Linked DNA regions of Arabidopsis thaliana. Each later gene encodes a partner of the first gene's protein in a complex. Each region holds a gene or a part of one and is shown in the gene's direction. Other genes may lie near its edges. The genes, in order: VPS54, POK and AT1G71300.

What was found.
Region 2: VPS54 (region 1) and POK share a complex: the UniProt entries of both Arabidopsis thaliana proteins name them as parts of the golgi-associated retrograde protein (GARP) complex.
Region 3: VPS54 (region 1) and AT1G71300 share a complex: the UniProt entries of both Arabidopsis thaliana proteins name them as parts of the golgi-associated retrograde protein (GARP) complex.

The regions. Positions count from the first base shown.
Region 1 is NC_003075.7:10,612,783-10,618,188, forward strand, and holds the start of VPS54 (VPS54), read left to right. Parts: upstream 1-2,913; 5' UTR 2,914-3,234; coding exon 3,235-4,068; intron 4,069-4,167; coding exon 4,168-4,230; intron 4,231-4,319; coding exon 4,320-4,399; intron 4,400-5,266; coding exon 5,267-5,387; intron 5,388-5,406. Other genes in the region: AT4G19470 (Leucine-rich repeat (LRR) family protein), read right to left, coding at 211-957, 1,009-1,418, 1,461-1,557; AT4G19480 (uncharacterized protein), read right to left, coding at 1,998-2,251, 2,402-2,534; AT4G19485 (uncharacterized protein), read left to right, coding at 2,038-2,341, 2,387-2,550. UniProt on the Arabidopsis thaliana protein: Acts as a component of the GARP complex that is involved in retrograde transport from early and late endosomes to the trans-Golgi network (TGN). The GARP complex facilitates tethering as well as SNARE complex assembly at the Golgi.
Region 2 is NC_003070.9:26,862,009-26,865,608, forward strand, and holds the start of POK (Vps52 / Sac2 family), read left to right. Parts: upstream 1-1,578; 5' UTR 1,579-1,727; coding exon 1,728-1,754; intron 1,755-1,854; coding exon 1,855-1,949; intron 1,950-2,049; coding exon 2,050-2,107; intron 2,108-2,279; coding exon 2,280-2,375; intron 2,376-2,511; coding exon 2,512-2,613; intron 2,614-2,768; coding exon 2,769-2,852; intron 2,853-2,938; coding exon 2,939-3,019; intron 3,020-3,416; coding exon 3,417-3,560; intron 3,561-3,600. Other genes in the region: ATWHY2 (WHIRLY 2), read right to left, coding at 159-247, 456-529, 613-707, 796-888, 982-1,085, 1,160-1,263, 1,352-1,383. UniProt on the Arabidopsis thaliana protein: Acts as a component of the GARP complex that is involved in retrograde transport from early and late endosomes to the trans-Golgi network (TGN). The GARP complex facilitates tethering as well as SNARE complex assembly at the Golgi.
Region 3 is NC_003070.9:26,871,332-26,876,737, forward strand, and holds the start of AT1G71300 (Vps52 / Sac2 family), read left to right. Parts: upstream 1-2,732; coding exon 2,733-2,818; intron 2,819-2,898; coding exon 2,899-3,016; intron 3,017-3,137; coding exon 3,138-3,251; intron 3,252-3,362; coding exon 3,363-3,464; intron 3,465-3,540; coding exon 3,541-3,624; intron 3,625-3,734; coding exon 3,735-3,815; intron 3,816-3,906; coding exon 3,907-4,050; intron 4,051-4,171; coding exon 4,172-4,263; intron 4,264-4,332; coding exon 4,333-4,414; intron 4,415-4,555; coding exon 4,556-4,738; intron 4,739-4,909; coding exon 4,910-5,025; intron 5,026-5,113; coding exon 5,114-5,172; intron 5,173-5,321; coding exon 5,322-5,406. Other genes in the region: AT1G71280 (DEA(D/H)-box RNA helicase family protein), read right to left, coding at 83-369, 395-482, 549-821; AT1G71290 (F-box associated ubiquitination effector family protein), read left to right, coding at 1,312-1,911. UniProt on the Arabidopsis thaliana protein: May be involved in retrograde transport of early and late endosomes to the late Golgi.

The DNA.
Region 1 (5,406 bases):
TTTGTAGACATCTGTTTGTGTTTAGGAAAGAGAACTTACACAACAAACATCCAATTACTTCTTCTTGAAAATTGTTTCAGAGTAGCCAATTCACTTGAAACTGATTCTGCAATTCACTTAAGAGATGGAACCAAGAATAAGATAGATTAAAAACATGATTCGACCTCTGTTTGAAACAAACCTTGACTGAAATCAGCTTTCTGAAATTAGTTATTTCCAGAGATGAGGCTTTGCTGGCTCCATGTAACTAAGAATAGAAGTTACAGAACAATCGTAATTACCAAAAGAGACGTCTTCCTTTATTCTTTTCCTGTTCAGTAGCTCTTCTTCTTGTACACATAAACGGCCTCTCTTGGACACAACAACTTTATCCAAGGCGGTTTCGTTTAGTTCTGTATCTTTTCCAGATATCTCTTTCTCAAGATTATTCTCGTGTAACCCATGCAACCTACAATCATTCTCATCTGGTGCATATAACAAGCTCATCCCGCATTTCACCACCTCACAGCAATCTAGTTTTCTTTTGGCTCTGCCATCAGTAACAAAAAATTTGAACGAGGCTGTGGTGTTGCAACATCTATTGAGATCATCGTTTTTCTTGGCATGGTAACAGTTGCTATAACTGATGAACACATGATCAGAGCTAAGTCTTCTTGATTCTTCATGGCTAGACGATCCACACTGCTCTTTCCATCCCCCAAGATTACATGTAAAGCTGATGTAATCACCGTCTTCGTTTCTGAACTTGCACTTGCATATCACGGAGAACCGGCTGGTTCTATCTTCATAGTCCTTGAAAGAGACAACCGTGCAGAGAGAAAGACCAATGAATTTATCGTCGCACCAGTGTGAAGGCAGGTTGGTTTCCATTGAAGATCCAATTCTCTGATGGCGGAACCATAGTGGCAAATCATTCCCTGGAAAACTTACAGCAGATAAAGGTTCCAAAACTAGTTCCTGGAAAAACCATTAAGGATAGCAATGTCACTGGAATAATAACAGAATAACCAGAGATTGGACCTTATGATTAAGTTGAAAAGATCTATTCGCCAGTATTTGACTCTTGAGCTGAGTATGAGCCACAATTTTTTCTTGTGCATCTCGGTTTAGCTTGTAGCAATCCGTGAATACGAAAGTAGAATGGGTCTTTTCAGCTATCACTAGAAGCGTCATGGGTTTTGAAACTGTTTCGAGTGAGATACAGCCATGAACATCCAAGTACTGATTTGATGGAAGCACTGGAAGAGAAATGAGATTTTTGCAATTCTTTAAGTAAAGAGATTTGAGATGATGAAGTTTCTTGATGCTTCCTGGTAGATTCTCGATACTGTTTCGGCTCAAGCATAAAGACTGCAGCGAGGATAAGCAGCTAAAATTGTCCGGGAATTTGTACAGATTACAATCTGTGAGATACATGTCTGATAACTGAGAGCAACCTGAGAAAGGCAGCAACTCCAAACCTCTGAAATCTTGGACTTTAGATCCACCAAACGAAAACAGCTTGAGATTACTCATACACATTGTTCTGGGAGTTTGTTTGATGGATGTATCATCCATTAGCAGAATCTCTAAGCTTCCCATGTTTGTTTGGGGATTCCATGTTTTACCAGATGCCCATGTTACATGCAGACAGGAGACTGCAACTTTGGTATTACAGTATGTGTAAATTCCATCATCCGAGTGAGAGAGAAACCCATGTCCTTGAGACCTCCTTAAGCTCCAAAGGCCTCCCTTCACGGACGGTGAGCCATTTCTTAAACTAGCAGTAGCAATCTAGCAGACGTTAGTTTTCTTTGCTTCAAACCTCATTCTTTTGAACTAACCAACACCAAAAGCTTGTTCGACTTCAAACTGAACTCTGTTTTTCTAATCTCATTACTATCATCTGTGTTTATCGCTTGCTCAATTTTTGCTCCAATCTTTCGACATGGAGAACCCGTGTGTACCTTATATTTTTACAGTGGAAACTGCAGCTCCGGTCCCACTTGTATCTTTGATCATCCGATGTTGGTATCAACACACAAGAACATATCTTCCATGGCTTCCGAGACACAGCACTTGAATCCGCTAGGATTGTCCTCTTCACTTGGGGCTTCATCAAGTGATATTGTGGAAGCATCAGCCAAGAAACCCAGAATATACAAGAACACTTCTTCCGTAGCGTCTGATACACCACACTCGAATCCATTAAGATTTTCTTCTCCAATTGGAGATTCATCAAGTGAGCTTGTGGAAAGATCAACTAAAGAAACTGTAATCAACAAGAACACACCTTCCATGGCTTCTGAGACTCTGCATGCTAATCCACTAAGATTTTATTCTTCCATTAGAGAGTCATCAAGTGATTGAAGTGAACTTGTGGAAACATCAGATTAGAAACCCATAGTGCATAAGAACACACCTTCCATGGCTTCTGAGACACCGCACTTGAAGTCGGTAGGACTTTCTTCTTCGCTTGGACCTTTATCAAGTGAGCTTGTGGAAGCATCAACTGTGTCTGAAGTCACACAAGAAACCGTTAGTAGAGGTGTCATTGAAGTGAAGACTTAAAATTTTTGTGGTTAAACAAAATGTTGTATTTTAAAATATTGTTCTTCTAATATATATTTTCTAATATTAACATATGCTTGATCCAAAAATTTCCATGAGTAATATATGAAAACAACATAATTAAGTAAAAAAAATACAAGGCATTTTTCCAAATTAACTCAAACAAAAATCCATAGGATATTTTTCAAAAGTATAAACAAAACAAGGCATTTTTCCAAATTAACTAATTAGAATATTACAAATTTTGTTAGAGAACTATTTGATTTATTGAATTGAAAAGATATTTGTAATATAGTAATATTAATTTTACTAGTAATGAAAATCAGTTATTCATAATTACAGAATCAAACTGACATTTATCCTTTTCTGTAGATGACGTGGATACCTAATGCACCGTCGATTAAATCTGCGTAGTGAAACCCCGCACTGCTCACAGCACCACCTCTCTCGAACCATCGAGTCTCGAACCCAGAGAGGACTTTCCTCAGTGAGTCCTCCGTTCCTTAGCTTCTCTTCCAGATCCAAACTCTCACCAAACTTTCTCACAACACACACACAATTCGATTCGATCCACACTCTTAAAATCCCAAAGATCTCTCTGATTTTGAAATTCGATTCTTCCCCAGATCAACTTGTGAATTTTTCCACAATTTTGGTTCATGATTTTGATTTCGTGAAGGACTTATGGATTCACACCCTTCCCTAATGGGAAGGTCCATTACCAATTCGAACCGATCGAGCTTAGATCTTGGTCGTCCTTCTTCGTCTTCTTCATCTTCTCCTTCACCGTTAACCAAATCGATCTCCGATGCAAGTAGTCAAAGTCTCTCTTCGATCCTTAACAATCCACACGGAGGTAAGTCTGGTGTTTATGGTTCCGATGCATCTTGGGTTGGTTGGTGGTCTTCATCGACATTTGTAGCTCCAGCTGAGTTTGCGCCTGTTGCTTCAACGAAGCTCCCTGGTTCGGAGCTAACCAGATCCGACTTCCATGGCTACGTTTCTTCGATCTCTGAGTCTCATGGTAGATTTGAGGATATTAGGAAGCATACTAGGGAAGAGAGCTGTGGGTTTGATCAGGAGAGCCATGTATCGGGTTTAGCTGCGTGTTTGCGTGAGGTTCCTTCGCTTTACTTTAAGGAGGATTTTGCTCTTGAGGACGGAGCTACATTTCGTTCTGCTTGCCCTTTCTCGAGCCTTAATGAGAATCTAGCGCTTCAAGAGAAGTTGTCACAGTATCTTGATGTGGTGGAGCTGCATCTTGTGAAGGAGATCTCTGTGAGGTCTGATTCGTTTTTTGAGGCTCAAGGACAGTTACAGGATTTGAATGTGAAGATTGTTGAGGGTTGTAGTAGGATTCGTGAGTTGAAAGAGACTATTCGGCTCCTGGATAGGAATTTGGTAGATTCAGCTCGACAGATTCAAGAGCTGAGCTCAACTAGGATTAATATGCTGGAGCTGCAACGTAAATTAAGACTTATTTTGTATGTTAACCAAGCTCTCTCTGCACTCAAATTGGTAATTTTTCTTACTGATTTGCTTAGAGTAGTGTCAATGTAGATACTTTTTTGTTTTTCCTATCTTTTATTGATGGAAGTTTGATTCTTTATTGTTCAGCTTGTTGCGTCCGCAGATTGTGCTGGAGCTTTGGATATAACTGACGATCTCCAGAACTTGCTGGTAAGTTCATCTGTGATTGATGTTGGATACTTTTAGACGATTAGGGTGCTCTTTCTTTAGAATGTAAAATGGATTCCTGTCTTTTTTAGGCTGGGGATGAGCTTACTGGTCTATACTGCTTCCGCCATCTTCGGGATCATGTTACTAGTTCCATAGATTCCATAAACAGGTGTGTCTCTTTTCAGGCTATGATAACTGACTATAATAGGCTGTATTTAGTCTGCCTGTAATGCTCTTTTAGGATGGATTGATTGGGAACAATGAGAGTAAGTCGGATCTTAACTGTGCAAAGTACCTTACCAAGTTTTTAGAGAAGTGGTGAAGATGTGAATTATTGACTATGTTTTTGAGTCTCGCTTTCGAGCGTCTTGAAATTCTTAGATAGTGAAGGCAGTCGATATTTGAAAAATGTTTGCAGGGTTTTGCAGCTCTGGTTTTTTTTTACCCTTCTACGTCCTTTTATTGACTTCTGGTTTATATATAGCAGATAGTCTCTCTATAATTTGCGAAGTCGCTGTTTCTTTGTAGATCAACCCTTTCATGTTACCCGTGTGCTTGGGCCATTTGCTGAGATTAAGTTTTATAACTGCCAATTGCGGTGGATAGTTTTACCGTCTGATGACTATGCATGCATCCAGGCTTGTAGCATTCTATTAGTAATCAATCATAACTTCTGAACTCTTAAACTTTCCCCTTAAGTTCTTGCATGCGGTAATGCCTTGCTGGCGGAATTACCCTTATTATGATAAATCTTGGTTTGCATTGAAATGTACTATGTTCGTCATTATTTTGATACTTCATTCATATTTTGTTACCTTCAAAAGGTGTAGAACAGTATACAACCTGTAGGCATTTGTATCAGTTAAATGTTTAGTATATTGATTTTCTTTGGTAGTGAATTGTTCCGTGAAAATTTTACTATAATGTAAGTTCACTTTCTATATGCAGTTATCTACCAGTCCTGTTTTCTCTATTATTTTCTTTTATTTGTTTATTTGGTCTAGTGCCTGATGGTTCATTGATTTTTTCTTTGTAGTATTCTCACTTCAGAATTCATGCGTATCTCCATACATGATACTGGGGAGATAGATGTACTGATTTTATCTGCAGCAAATATACGGGGATCCATTTCATCTAACGGGAATACCGGCGAAGAAGTAAGTCTCATCCGGTACT
Region 2 (3,600 bases), on another chromosome or scaffold:
CACCAATATCCCTTGAAGAATATATACTTGATCCAGATTCATGTGCTAAAACTGACAGAGAAGCAATGCCCTTGGTTTTTCTAGTCAATGTTTTTGGTTCTCGAACTGATATAATAGTAACAGAATATAGAGAACGCAGAATAAAAATCTTATCTTACACTAAAAGCTGTCTTCATCACTGCAAATTCAGCTTTTGTGACAGGAACCACAAAATAGTCATTGGTTTTGAGGATGCTATTGTTAACGCCTGCAACAAAACCGCAGAAGGTAAGTGTTTATACAGCATTAAGAATTCAGCATTCCTATTGTTATAAGACAGCTATTCTGTGCGAAAACTGTTATCGCCATATTACAAAACTAATACAAGTGCAAGCTTCTAAATTTACTAAACAGAAAGCTCCCATAACTAAGTATTTCAGTACTGATTATCCATGTTAATTTGATAGAAGCCTTACTCAATGAGATGAAGTAGCCGCTACCATCTGCGTGGGGCTTAACTGACAGTGACTTCCTGACTTGACCAGCATTACTGAGGAGTCAAAGACAAGTCTATGTCAGAACATGAAAATGCTGCGATAAAAATATAATGTATTGAAGCAAAAAAAGACAAACCTTGATTTCATGGAAGGGTCATGGAAAAACTCGGAGCTGTCTTTGGAACCCATGCTAATTAAGGATCCAACTTCAGTAGGTGACAAAGCAAATTTCTGCAATAATGTAGGAAACAAACCAAATTTATCAGAGGAGAAAGAAGAGACAAGTGAAGAAGATAGAGAGTGTGAAAAAGATCAATACCTGTTTCTTTTCCCAGTCGTACTTACGCTCACCAATAGCAGGCATAAAAGTCATCATTAAGGATCCACGACGATCTATCCGAAGATTTCCCGACTAAACAATTGTACTCACAGTAAGTAATGAGAATCTAAAAGAAGCCTTTAAAGAGAACACACAAAACTAAAAAGAAATGGATTTTGGGCTTACATCGATTTCAGTGAAACTGGGAAGAACAGGTTCAACAGAGAGAGCAGCTTTTCCTTTGAAGATAGAATAAGGTGCGAACAATCGACCACTAGGCTTTGCGGCATCTTCTCAAATCAAGCAAACAAAATTAGGGCAAGTACACTTAAACTGACGAAACGGAAACAAACCAAGTTCTTACCTTTACCAGGGAATCCACGTCCAGGGGTTGAAGAATTTGACCAGCTTGCAAAACCACGCAACGTCGAAGCTTCGAAAAGTGACTTACTTTGGTCACAAAGGCTCCTGCTTTAACAAAAACAAACCAACCCAGAGAAGCCATTTTAAGAGTAATGAAATCTAAAATCTGAATTTTGAGAGGAACTGAAGTAACCTGGAGAGCAAAGAGCGGGCTTGCTTCATCATCTTCTTCTGTCTCGAGTAAAAAGCATCACTTGAGGTCTTCCGACTTCTGAGGTTTTATGATTTATCAAAACGGGTTTTATCGGGCGACCCATATTTTAACCCGTTTGTTTTATATATAAGTCTTTTAACGGCCCAATGGGCCTTTATTGTTGATTGGGAAATTAAAAATCAGATTAGAGAAGACGAACGAATCTGAGAAAGGTGAAGCTGAAGAAGAAGAAGAAGAAGAAGAAGAAGAAGAAGAAGAAGAAGAAGACTCTCTAATGGCGGACTCAAACTGATTTCGAGGATTCTGATTTCGTTTTCTAGTTGAAGATCTTTCAACTCTTAATCTCATTAGGAAGATGTCCGACATTTCCATTGACGCATTGGTACTTCATTTTTTTTGCATTCGTGATCTTCTAGCCTTAATCATGGATCCTTTATGATCTCTTGTCTAATTCGCTTTGCTCTTCTATCTGAAATTCATAGGGCCAAACTATGGGGGACTTTAGTAATCATGAGAAACTTGGATTTGATTTAGGAGCATTTGTTGGAGACTTGGCTTTTGAAGAAGATTCAGGCAGGTAACGTTCTCATGTTTTGTATCTTAATTCGACTATAACATATGTTTCTGCTTCTCTTTGTTCTTCTGATTAGAATGCTCTCCTTTGATTTGTTTGGCAGTGAGGATATTTCATTGGAAGGGCTTCAACAAGAACTTGAAGAATGTGAAAGTGATGAGGTAAGTTATTCACTTAACTGAGATCAAACTTATAAAGCTAGCACCTCGGTTCTTCTTTTTCGAAGTATTGTTTCTACTCTCATTTGAGTTACTTTGGAGTACATGGATTGATCATAGAATGTTAGATCCATGGATATGATGTCCTTTCTATCTTGTTTGTGTGAAATGTCAGGTTGTTGCCAATATACTGTCTAGTGGTGACAAACTTAGAGAATATGCAAAAGGGGTTGAAAACAATCTACGCAAGGTTGAATTGGATTCAATCGAGGTTGTTATTCTCTACCTGTGCTACATTGTGGCACTTGTTGTTTTCTACTTTTTATGTACTTCCGTCTATAAGTTCGGGAATTTCTTTGATATCGTAAGTAACTAACTTAAATGCTTTACATTCCATGAATACTCAGGATTACATAAAGGAAAGTGACAACCTAGTCTCACTTCACGATCAGATTCGTGACTGTGACAGCATCCTGTCACAAATGGAAACTCTTCTCAGTGGATTTCAGGTATTTGAAAATTAGACATTTATATAATTTGTGTGTATGTATGTGCTTCTTTCTCCTTATTCTGACTTTTGCTTAATGGGAGGAATTTTTTTACTTTGAAATACATATATTTTTTCCTGGTAATCTAAATGTGCACTTTGCTTCTTTTCTTTCAGGAAGAGATTGGTTCTATAAGTTCAGACATAAAGATTCTTCAAGAAAAGTCAATGGACATGGGTTTGAGATTGAAAAACCGCAGGGTATAGCTAATCAGAAACCACTATTGGTATTATCTCTTGCTGCTTTCACTCGTGACTCATCCAAATGAACTCTTCTATTTGAATAGGTGGCTGAATCAAAGCTAGCAAAATTTGTCGAAGACATTATAGTGCCACCAAAGATGATAGATGTAATTGTTGACGGAGAGGTATTTTTCAAATTCACTTTTTATGTAGCTTTGGTAGGGTTGGAGATTTGTAGGAATTTTGTAGGATCTCGTCATGTTGTATACATGTCTAATTTTTCTTTTTGTTTCTGGTGCTATAAGAATTACTGATTTGGTGCATATGTTGTAATCTGAAACATGGAGGAAAAATAGAAAAACAACATTTTCTGGTTAAGCTTGGTATATGCTTCCCCTATGTGCAATACTAAAATTTATTAAATTTTCTTCATTTTGTTTTCTTACACCATTTAGTCCTATCTTTATGTCCCCTGAGTACGTGTTTTTTTTGTAAAACCATAGTGGTGCATTTAAGCCTAGGTTGGATTGCTGAGGGTATTTTTATTGCTAATCTGATAGTCGTATTATTTTCCTTATTCAGGTGAATGAAGAGTATATGAAAACGCTTGAAATTCTGAGTAAGAAGCTAAAATTTGTAGAAGCAGATCAGGCAGTTAAAAGTTCCAAAGCGTTAAAAGATGTAGAGCCTGAGCTCGAAAAGCTTCGGCAGAAAGCTATTTCCAAGGTTATTGATCTACTTTCTCTGTTACTTGATACCAAAAACT
Region 3 (5,406 bases), on another chromosome or scaffold:
CAGACCAGAAGGCGTTTTCGACTTTGACTCATCTCCCAATCTAACTTCCGTAACGTTCCTAAGCTCCCGATCTAACTCTCACAGGATTCCTAAGGCCAGCCTTGGCCAGGTCTGCAACAGCTTGTGTTTGTGTAGCTGAAAAGAGGCCAGTCCTACGTTGCTTTGGCAAGCGAGATATAATGTAATTGACCTGCTTCTGGAACCCCATATCCAAAAGTCTATCGGCCTCATCTAAGATAAGAATCTCGAGATTTCGAAAATCCAGAAACTCCATTCGTTTCATCATATCTGAAAGCCTTCCAGGGGTGCCGATCAAGAGATTGGCTCCTTCTTCTTCGAGAGTATTCATGTCAGCTTCCACCTCTCGACCTCCAACAAGCAGGACAGAGTTCACATTTGGCAAAGTCGAGACGAACGGCTCTTGCCACCTTATGTATCTGCGCTGATAGCTCTCTCGTTGGCGATATAATCACCCCCATTACCTGAGATTGAAATTGTTAACATATAGCATAAGCTACTACTCTTGATATTCGGCTAATTCTCCTTACCTGGTGTGGCTTCGGAGGGTAGGAGTTGGATCGACGGATAATCTCTATGAAGGGAAGGAGGAAAGCTAGGGTTTTTCCAGAACCAGTGGCTGCGTCGACGACAACATCCTTGTGGCTGCAGAGGAAAGGGATCGTCTCGGCCTGAACCGGAGTGCAGACCTCGAAACCGGACCGGTCAAGCGCCTCGATGATATCTTCTGAGAGCGGAGGTTTGAGTTCAGAGAAACGCGGCGGCGCCTCCTCGATGATAGTGTTCGGTGGCGATGAATCCATGACGGCCGCCGCTTGCTTGTTGCTCACTCCAGCTTTATTTTTTAGACCTACAGCAAAATTTTGTTCGAATTAGGTAGTTTTTGGTCCAGTTTCTACTAAAGCCCACTAAGAGAAGAGATACATCTCTCGGCCCATTGTTAAAGTAAAGCTCTAGTCATTGCTTAAAAGAATACCTCTAAACATTGACATTTGACAGTAACAAACTCGGAGAGCATTCAGAGATCTACAAACAGATATTCTGTCACGGTTACCTCTGAAATCATTGGTGAAATGTATCTTGTCTAAAAGAAGTTGGCATCTTTAATCCGCTCGAGAGCATTCAGAGATCTTACTTGCGCCGATCGATGACGACAAGGCCTCGATTGTCGTTCATCAACTTCCCCGTTCGGACGTGATGGTGTGTTTCACTCTGTTTATCAAGAAGAGGAACCACTGTGTAATATCACAGTACGGAGATGGTAGGCGTTCTAGGGAATATCAGGTATACACAATGACGGTGGGATCAGGTGAAGAATCTAATTCTTGGAGAGTGATCACATGTAAGCATGATCATTCACCAGTTACTGAAGGACTATGTAAAGGAGGTTTCTTGTATTATGGAGCTGATGAGTCCAATAGTGACAAATCTGTGGTAGTGAGCTTCAACGTGAGTTCTGAAGAGTTTAGCGTCATTGAATTGCCTGAGGAAGTCAAGATTGATCATCGTTGGAGATTGGTGAACTACAATGGGGAAGTTGCCTTAGTAGATGACTCTGAGTTTGACTTTGGTATTGTGAAAGAACCGAATGGCAATGGAGTATTTGAATTGTGGGTAAGGAACGAAACTGATGGAACTTGGTGGAGAAACTGCATTGAGATTCCTCATTGGGAACAACATGTTGGAAATATGGAGTTTTTCTTCAAAGGTACCATTGGAACTGGAGAACTTGTGTTCGCTCAAGACTCTGTGATTGAGAGATCATTCTATGTGGTTTATTATGATACAGTCACACAAAATCTCAGAAGATTTACGATTGAAGGTGTAGCTAGAGATCAGCTTCATGATGTTCGAACCTTCTTGGATCATGTTGATAGTACTTGGCTTATGTGAAGAACAAGAGTTAGGTTGTTATATATATGCGAGAATCAGATTTTGAGTTTTTACAAAATCTATTAAAATTTGGAGATCTTAACTTCTTTTTTCTCGACAATATCTGTAAGAAAATAAAATAAAAATAGACATTTGTTGGTATCACAAAAATAATATAGACCTCCTTGGTATTTGCGTATCCTCTCATCTATATCGCCAGTGGCTCCGTGGCCTTCAAATCAATTCTCAAATTTTGTATATATATATACTAAGATTAAGATTTGACTATTGTTATAACCATTGGTGTTTCTCCAGAATTTGTACAGCAACATGCCCACTAACTCATTGGTAAGCTGGCACTTCGTTTTCGCTCTAAATTTGATTTGCTGAGTTCTAAAGCCTTTTGGATCATGATGTTATTGTTATGGTTGTTTTACTTCTTTTGCGGGTTCGATCTCTCATCGAAGTTTGGGTCTATTCTCTTTGCTCTTCCTCTTCTAACTAAAAAAACATAACGTTACCATCGACTAGGGTTTTTGGTGATTTTTCGTTTTTCTCATGATTAAGATTGGTTTTGAGGTTTTTCCCTTTTCAATTAGGATTTCTAGTAATGATATATTGTAAGGCTTTAAGTTGGATTGTTCCTTGTCTGTATATAAAGTCCCTTTATGATCAATAAGAAATCAAACAATTAACCCTAACTCTCTCTAAGAGCGACTTGCGTTAAAAGGAAGCTTGCTAAAATCTTTCTCACGTTAACAAACTGCACGAAACCGAAATCACAGGCTCATATCAAGTCTCTTATCGAAGTTTGTGTCTATCTAAAAACATAGGGCCAAGCTATGGACGACTTCAGTAATCTTGAGAAACATGAATCTGAATTAGGAGCATTCTTTGGAGACTTGGCTTTTGAAGAGGATTCAAGAAGGTAACATTCTCATGTCTTTTCTGTTTACCTTAATTCGAGTTTGACATAAGTTTCTGCTTCTCTTTATTGTTCTGATTTAGAATGCTCTCCTTTGGTTCTGTCTCATTCATAAAATCGACATTACTCTTTTTGTTGGGCAGTGAGGATATATCATTGGAAGGGCTTCAACAAGAACTTGAAGAATGTGAAAGTGACGAGGTGAGAAAAAAAAACTGAAAGTGAACAAAGTTTTTTCCAGTATCATATCTACTCCGTTTTGACTTACTCTGTACATGGATAGAAGTTTTGATCCAAGGCTATTTTTCTTGTGAAAGTTCAGGTTGTTGCCAATATACTGTCCAGTGGTGACAAACTTAGAGAATATGCCAAAGGTGTTGAAAACAATCTACGGAAGGTTGAATTGGATTCAGTTGAGGTTGCTATTCTCTTACCTGTGATACATTGTGGCACTCGTTGTTTTCTACTTTTCATGTAACGTATTTTGTTCCTTGTACAAGTTTAATATCGTAATTTACTAATGTTTCTACCCTCCATTAATACTCAGGATTACATAAAAGAAAGTGATAAACTAGTCTCACTTCACGATCAGATTCGTGACTGTAACTGCATCTTGTCACAAATGGAAACTCTTCTCAGTGGATTTCAGGTATTTGACAATTTATATAGTTTGTGATTCTTTCTCCTTAATCTGAATGCGCACTTTGCTTCTTCGTTTCTTTCAGGAAGAGATTGGTTCTATAAGTTCAGACATAAAGATTCTTCAAGAAAATTCAATGGACATGGGTTTGAGACTGAAAAATCGAAGGGTATATAGTCATATCAGAAACCACTATTAGTATTATCTCTTTCTCCTTCAACCTCGGTGGTATTTTCTTATGTGTGTTACTCATCAAAACAAGCTCTCCTATATGAACAGGTGACTGAATCAAAGCTAGCAAAATTTGTCGAAGACTTTATAGTACCACCAAAGATGATTCATGTAATTGTTGATGGAGAGGTATCTTTTCAAATTCCCTCTTTCTATGTAATTGTTGCTTTGGTAGGATTTTTATTTCTAATCTGATAGTCTTGCTATTTTCTGTATTCAGGTGAATGAAGAGTATATCAAAACACTTGGAATTCTGAGCAAGAAGCTGAAATTTGTAGAAACAGATCAAGCAGTTAAAAGTTCCAAAGCATTAAAAGATGTAGAGCCTGAGCTTGAAAAGCTCCGGCAAAAAGCTATTTCCAAGGTTGTTAATCTACTTTCTCTGTTACTTGATTCGTAACAATTATGTCTTTGTTTGTTCTGTTCCAATGCTTCCAAGGGCATGCACGTCGAGGGAGCAATTCTCATTTATTTCCGTTTTGCAGGTTTATGATTTTATTGTTCAGAAGCTTATAGCCCTGAGGAAACCCAAAACAAACATTCAGATTCTTCAACAGAGTGTGTTTTTAAAGTACAAGTGAGTCATGCACCCTTTTACTTTGGTTTTTTTACGTACTTCATTTACCAAATTACATTTTGATCATAGGTATATTATCTCCTTCCTCAAAGAACATGGAAAAGAAGTGTTTATGGATGTCCGCGCTGCATACATAGATACCATGAACAAGGTACTTCTTCTTTTCTTGTATTCTCACTAGAGCTATAATGATTAGATGATGTATGCAGGTTAGATTGAACAAGCTTTATGTTATGGGTTAGGCTTTCAGTTGTTAATGTTACACCTAATATAATGTGAGATCTGGTTTCAGGTGCTAAGTGCACATTTTCAGTCTTATATTCAAGCATTTGAGAAACTACAGTTAGATATAGCCACATCAAACGACTTGATTGGTGTGGACACTAGAAGCACTGGCCTCTTCTCAAGATCTAAGGAGCCACTAAAGAACCGTTGTGCCGTTTTTGCTTTGGGTGAGAGGATACAAATTATAAAGGTATTCATCATTTATCCAGTGATTATATTTTTTCAGACCATTGAGCATGATTTGGCGAATTCGTTAGTTCCACGTTCACTTGATATTTTCCTGTATTTCTTATCGTTGACTTGGAGGTATTATATCGCAAGAGTTTGTTAAAAGACTTAAGTTTCACTATGTATGATGTAGGAAATTGATCAACCTGCTTTGATCCCGCACATAGCCGAAGCCAGCTCTCTCAAGTATCCTTATGAAGTGCTCTTCAGGAGCTTGCACAAGCTACTTATGGATACAGCTACTTCTGAGTTCTGTTGATCTTTCCTCTTTTCTATTTGTGTTATTGTTTCTCACCACCCACCCCCTTGTTAACGTCATTTGTTTTCATTTTGACAGGTATATCTTTTGTGAAGATTTCTTTGGTGAACAGTCTATATTTTATGAAATATTTGCGGGTAAGTTTTAATCTTTCCTCCTTTTTCTATACCAAACTTTGTAGTCAGAATAGTTGTTACAAATTTTTATATGGTACTTGAGTAGTGTGTAAGAAATATTGTCTTACGCAATTTTTTCTTGGATAAATTCTGAATTCTCCATGACACAGGCCCATTCTCTGTTATCTATGAGCACTTGGATTCCGTCCTCTCAAGCTGTTATGATGCTATCGGTTTGCTGCTTATGATTCGCAT